Danio rerio: one gene and its partner. The protein of the gene in region 1 binds, or shares a complex with, the protein of each later gene. Links are inferred from orthologs where the notes say so. Each region holds a gene or a part of one and is shown on either strand. Other genes may lie near its edges. The genes, in order: acvr2aa and inhbaa.

Evidence for each region.
Region 2: the proteins of acvr2aa (region 1) and inhbaa are in contact, whole or in part, in a crystal structure (PDB 7U5P), measured with the Homo sapiens proteins. The link is inferred for Danio rerio from reciprocal best matches to the Homo sapiens genes ACVR2A and INHBA. Residues at the interface, in NP_001265508.1 of Homo sapiens: Asn36, Asp53, Lys56, Phe61, Thr63, Lys65, Val74, Lys75, Cys78, Trp79, Leu80, Asp81, Asp82, Ile83, Asn84, Val100, Phe102; in NP_002183.1 of Homo sapiens: Ile340, Ala341, Pro342, His346, Arg397, Pro398, Met399, Ser400, Met401, Leu402, Tyr404, Asn409, Ile410, Ile411, Lys412, Asp414, Glu421.

The regions. Positions count from the first base shown.
Region 1 is NC_133184.1:27,031,015-27,034,849, reverse strand, and holds part of acvr2aa (activin receptor type-2A precursor), read left to right. Parts: intron 1-1,039; coding exon 1,040-1,194; intron 1,195-3,835. UniProt on the Homo sapiens protein: On ligand binding, forms a receptor complex consisting of two type II and two type I transmembrane serine/threonine kinases.
Region 2 is NC_133199.1:3,242,330-3,245,475, reverse strand, and holds the end of inhbaa (inhibin subunit beta Aa), read right to left. Parts: coding exon 2,797-3,146; 3' UTR 772-2,796; downstream 1-771. UniProt on the Homo sapiens protein: Inhibins/activins are involved in regulating a number of diverse functions such as hypothalamic and pituitary hormone secretion, gonadal hormone secretion, germ cell development and maturation, erythroid differentiation, insulin secretion, nerve cell survival, embryonic axial development or bone growth, depending on their subunit composition.

The DNA of each region.
Region 1 (3,835 bases):
CCGGCATCATGAAATCCATTATTATTTATGCAAAGTTAAATCATGAATGTGCGTTCCCAATACACCATATTTATGCACAGGCAAATTTCAGTACATTCCCATTGTTTCCACGCACATTCAGGATAACAATTTAACTGGTCATGTAAATGTGTTGGTACTGTAGTGAGTACACGCTGGCAGGTCAAAGCAGTTTCTTTTGTCCACGTGGTCTTGTTTGGTATCACAACTTGACTTGTCTAAAATGTAAACAAGTACTAAAGAGCACTAAACAAGCTGTTGCGCTGTACACATTTTGTACATTGTGAAATCTTAATGCGGAGAAGAAATTATGTCCAGCTCCTTTTTTTTTACATTTGGCATTATCATATAGAATTTTAGGCGACCTTTTGTCGCATCTGTAAATGTTTTCTTTGGAAAGATACCTACATTTAACCTTGAAAAAATATTCTGAAGATTTTTTTATGTGTGGTTTTATAATAAAATAAATATTGTAAATATTATAATTTGTATAAAGCATTATGTGAGTAGTATCACTTATTTAGGAGAATACAGCAATCATTTGTTTTTCTTAAGCACAGGAGCATAAGGAGACCTTCACACTGGATGGAGCACACTGAAGTGAAACTTTCGGTTGATATTTTTCCTTGAGCAAATGAAAAATCTACTTGAAGTAATAGTGCTTATGAAAACATATGGAAATATATCCTGTGTGAACAGCGCCAAGAATATTTCCCATTTATTCCCAAATAGTAACATATTAGTCAGAGATATAATATTGTTTAAAAGTTTGGGGTGAGGATTTTTTTCCCCCAAATCAGCATATTAGATATATGAAGGATCTTCTGTCACTGAAGACTGAGGTAGTTGCTGCTGAAAGTTCATCTTTGGCATCCCAGATAAATAGCATTTTGTGATATATGTAAATATCGGAAACAAATTTAAAATCCTTCTGACCCCAAACTATTGAACAGATGTGTAAATTGTGCACTTAATAAATGTTTTTATTAATGCTGATCTTTGTTGTTTTTTCTCTCATCAGCGACATCAAACCCCTTGACCCAGAAGCCGCCACTGTTCAGTACCCTTCTGTACTCCATCGTGCCCATCATGGGCATTGCAGCCATTGTCCTGCTCTCCTTCTGGATGTATCGGCATCACAAGTTGGCATACCCTCCTGTTCTGGTGCCTACCCAGGTAACTTAATGTCTTTAATATATTTTGCATGCGTTTTGATTAACATTTAATGAAATGAGAGGTGTATTTTCTTTTTTTTGAAACACTTATGTCAGTGAACCACATTCAGCACTGTATTATAAAGTCCATCTGCTCCTATCAGTGAATTTAGTTCTTCTTGCCACTAAAAGCGGTGCTATCGGGAGCTGTTATTTCCCCTGCTGGCACCTCCTGTTGATGCGAACGACAGTGATTTTAGGGATCTAATGTGCTCAATGTCACACTCGCTCAAGCTCAAACACACTGTCAGATGAAATCAAGACGAGATCCGTCAGGACGCTGTTGTGATTCGATGCCCTCTTCTCCCACCATAAACACGAGATTACAGAGCTGACAGAACACAAGACACGAGCAATCAGGTGACCTTTACCCTCTGTGTGGGACTAGTGTTAAGATTCACATCTATTTCTGAACTACACAATAGATCTTTATAGATTTGGCCTGTGATGTCAAGGAATCTGGGCCAGGGGGGAAGAAAAATCCTTACTGTTGAGCACTGCAGGACATCTTTGGCAGCTCTGAATAGATGCATTTACAAGCGCGTGTGTCGGGGTGAGCTGTGGGACTTGTATGGTTGCACAAAGGGTTACCTTTGTGTCAGGTGAGCATTTGGAATTCCCCGATTGAGTTTCAGTGTTATGTAGGCCAGATCTGACAGATGAACCATCCCCGCAGCGCTACTGATATTAAATATCATGATCAGCCCAAACTTGTTTTTGATATGGAAGAAGTTTTATTAGCTTTTAATGTAGCAGTCAAAAGTCTTCAGGGACTATAACAACACTTGGTTAAAATGAAACCGTGTTGGCAATTTTTTTTAGTGGTGCATTTGTTCGTAAATTGGATGAATTATAGTTTTGATTGTGGGAAGGGGTCGATTAAATGTATGATGCTGGGCTTGATGATGTTAGCTGAAATATGCACTGCTGGTTCTGTTTATATATATATATATATATATATATATATATATGTATATATATATATATATATATATATATATATATATATATATATATATATATATATACATACAAAATTAACGCGTTAACGCATGCGATTAATTTGAAATAATTAACGCGTTTAAAAAAATTACGCAGTTTTTTTTTTGTTTTTTTTTTTTTTTTTTTTTTTTTCCTGTTGTGGCCAGGGGCAGACGCCGGGCAATTTCCCCGCTGTTTCGACGTACTTTTTTGGGCCGGGCTGATCATCTTCTTATGATCTGATCGGCCCATAAAACACTATTGTCATGTTTTTCTGCCTCAGTTATTGACGGTGCTGTGAGCTATCACGCTCTGAAAGTAAGATGTTTCTTTTCCGGAAAGAGCAGCCGTGCGACATCATCTGTAGCCCATTGGTTTTTTTCTTTATTGACATTGGGCTGACTCAATCACAAACTTCCATGTTGGGCTCTGTGTAACCCAGTTGTGTATTGGTCAAAATAGCCGAGAGTCACGCCTGTTTCTTACGCGCCGGTCTGTGCCTTTTAATCTGCACCACGGCCCGCGGCAACTTCTGCCTGCTGTTTCCTTAACCTGCAAGTCTTTATTTTACAAATTATAAAGAATGTCCGCTTCTAAAGCTCTGAGGGGTGTCAGTCATGAATTTTAAGATGCACTCGGTCAGAAGACAAGCGCAGGAGATATCATGACATTGTGTGTTTGATCGTCAGCATGATGTAGGCTTATAGTGACAATATTTATACAATATGGTTATTATAATGATATTTATACATGACCAAACTAGTGTGCAACTTAAGCAACTTTTTTTTTTTACATTTAGTTTTGTAGTTCGGGCAGAAACAAATATTTGTTGCATTTTTCAATTGTTTAAGTTCATTTGATTGACAATGTAAAATCTTTTAGCTACATTTGATGTTTCATTGTTGAGTAAACATGTTTTTAAGGGTCTCTGACTTTCTCTGCTTTTATAATTTATCTTTATTTTATTAATCAACATTAACTGTGTACGTCAGCAGGCAGTTTTTGTTATGTTCATTATTTATTAGGCTCCCTCAAAACACACAGGCACCCACATTTTCAGTGTGGATTATAATTTTATTTTAATAATAAATAAAAAAATTTAGTTTTTTAATTTGTCAACTCTCGTTATTTCCTATATATGGCTGTTGTGCTTTTATAGAATGGGAGTTACTAAACCCATTCAAGGGCATGCACAGATTTTCAATACTTTATTATTATTATTATAATTTTCCATATCTGCAATGCTTTTATTTTGGCATTTTTTTTGCAGTCCACATAGAATCCAACATGGCATTAACATGACTGTGTTTTTATTTTTGTAATAAATATGGCTGTCAAGCCAGGATCTTGATGGTTTATTGTGGGTATGTTGTTTACATGAAGATAATCTGTGTTACAAGTTAAACAAAAATTCTAGTAATGAATTATATTTTGTATTTAAACAGTATTTGTCTTGCATTTATATTAATTTTACACTAGAATAGCCCAAATTAAAAGTTTCAGTCTTTTAAATGTGATTAATCGCGATTATTTTTTTAAAAAGTGAGATTAATTAGTTAATTTTTTTAATCAATTGACAGCACTTATATATACACACACACACACACACACACACACACAGT
Region 2 (3,146 bases), on another chromosome or scaffold:
TTTTATCAAAGCCTACCCACACCCCATCCCTAAACCCAACCCTCACAGTATTGTAAAATAGTAATTATATCAAGTATTATTCATATAATTATTTATGAAATTACCCCTTCAATTAAATTTGATTGATGCCTAACCTTAAACCCCACCCTCATAGTATTGTAAAATAGTAATAATATCAAGTATCATTTGTATTATTCATTAAATTACCCGTTAAAATGCATTTTATTTATGCCTAATCCTAAACCCAAACCCCACAGTAACATAAAAATGGTAAAAAAAAATGTTGTACAGTGTCACACTACACAACTACACAAAATCCACAGCCGTATCTCTTATAGACTTTAACCAGTCAATGGGAAAATACAACACCTTCATAATTGCTCAAATAATAAAAGAACAACTAATAGATTGTGTTATCAAGATTTCAGAAAAAAAAATTGAGGGAATTGAGATTGATCACAACAAACTCAAGAGAAAAACTGTCAAATTTACTGTTCCAGCCCCCATAGACGCTACATTAGAAACACCACACGTCAGCGGTAATTTGTTTTTTGTAATTTGATGTAAAGATGATAAACTTAATGCAAAGTATAGCTTTATAAATGCACATACATTTAAAGAAATATTTAAACTTTTTAAGATGTCGATGACTGTTAAATGTGTCATAATTGTGATAGGGTCCATACAGTCTGGCGTGTGCTTTGTGAATTGTTGTTTATCTTAAAATTAGATGTGTGTGTCCTGTGCAAGAAATCACAACCAACACGTTTGTCATCTGTTTTAGTGTACAACCTTTTAACTTTAATGGTGAAGCAAAGGACAAAATACTGTAGAATAAATTAGATTAAAAAAAATAGCCACAAGCACATTTTTGATTTGTACAACAAAGCAATGCAACATATTGGTATCTTGATTTCCATATATACAGAATAAAAAATATATTTTTTATTCTTAGTCCACTTTTTTCAGTGTCAATTATTTTTTTTAATAACAACAAACAAATAAACATACAAAAACATATACAACATGTGTTATTTTTTTCTTCTGAATCTGTTTTTCTGTTTTAATAGTATTTTTTTTTCTCTTTAATGACATTTCGTATGCGCTCCCATTAGGAGCACGCTGAAAATAGTAAACTTTTCTTAGTTCAAAATGTAACACAAACGTTCTCTCAGTCTTTTCTGTTCTTTTTTTTTTTCTTTTCATTTCCCAAATTGCTTCATTTTTTTAAACATTGCACAGTGGTAAAATATTTCATGTCGGGAAGCGGAAATATCAACATCTGCAGAACAAAAACAGTTCCTTTTTTTTAATAGATATATTTTTGTTTGGATCGTCGAAGATCCCTTTAATATTTGGTGGACAGAAATTGCAAATACCTAAATAGTAATTCATCTCCCAAGTCATTAAATATCAATGCTGCACATTCACTTTTGTAACAATTCATGATTAAAAGAAAAACAAACTTTAAAAGGTTGGTTTAAGTGCTGTTTTAACCATTTCGATGGCCAGTCGCGATTGGACTGTGCAGCAGTGCAAAAGCACACACAGGAGTGAGCCGCTGTGGGACGTTGAGAAGCCGTTTTAAAGGTCTTTCGGTTCGCTAACCTGGACATCTTTGTAGGGAGAACAAAGCAACCTTCTGAAAGACATATTGGTATCTTCTGAACAACCGTTCGGAGACAGCCTGATATGGTAGGCAACGCTAAACGAAACTCTTTGGTGTTGAGTAAAAAACCAAAACACTATTTTGTAAAACGCATGTGTACACATGGTCCTCTGATGTAGTGCTAGTCGACTCTTGCTTCTCCTCTAACCTCCCTGTTTTTTTTTTTTTGAACAATCTCATTTGTTAGACTCATGCTATGTAGGTACGTCTGTTCTGAAGTGCTTCTAGTCTTTCTCTATAAACATATTTGTATATGTGGCTACGCTGATCAAAATGTTGATATAGTGCAAAACTGTAAACGTTTTAACGTCTCATATTAAGATAACAAAAAAAAATGTACAGAAACCAAAACAAAATAATAACATTATTAACAATAGTCAGAATAATTAGAATAATAACAATAATAATAATAATAATAATAATATAGAGAAATGTTTGGTTCCAGCAGCCCGTCAAACTTCTTTCAAGTATCTCTCAACAACACACACAAACAGACATGCACACACACACACACACACGTACACAAATACTCCCATAGGCAGACTGCACATACGCACACACTTTTGTACAGACACACACGACAAACATGTATACGTAAAACACACAAACAAGGTATAAAAAGTCAACCGACGTTAACTTTTCTTTTAGTTTGTAAAAGTAAATAGTTAAGAAACAAAACAACACCTTGATGAAAATATATCGTAATACTTGACAAGTTGCATAGTTTTGAGATTTTCTTTTTCAGGCACCTCATCTGTGTGATCTCTCTTCCCGCAGTGCACGTCTGCGCTGCAAAGTAGGCCGCATAAATACTCTCTGACCTCGCTCCCTTTGCTTTGTAACAAAAATATATTATATTTCTTTTTTTTTTTCTCTTTTGAAAGTGCCACAGAGATTACTCTGAGTTACAGATACCCATTGGATTCTAAGATGACCACGCACAAGTGGTCGAGAGAAAGAGAGGCCTGTCTACGCGAGAGTTCGTCTTGAGGCAGTGAGATAGAGATAGAGGAGCTCTCGACTCCTCCCTCTACATCTCGTCTTTTTCCATTCGTTTCGGGACTCAAGTTCTTGCCCCGACCGTCCAACCATGCTCCCTTCCCACCCTTCCTCTTCTCGAAGTGCCCTTACGAGCAGCCGCATTCTTCTACAATCATGTTCTGGATGTCCTTTTTGACGATTTTCTGCTCCTCGTTGTAGTAGAGCATGGACATGGCTCGCAGGCGCGTGGGGACGCAGCAGGACTTGATGTTGGTGAAAGGGCTGTACCCTCGGATACGGTAGTGGCTGATGACCGTGGAGTGGAAGGACAGCGAGTTGCCGGTGATGCTTGCCACGTTGCTGGCGCAGTCGCCTTCGCAGTAGTTGGCGTGGTACCCCGACGGAGCGATGATCCAGTCGTTCCAGCCGATGTCCTTGAAGTTTACGTAAAATTGTCGCTTGCAGCAGACGCGCGCCTTGCCGTCGCATTCCAGGC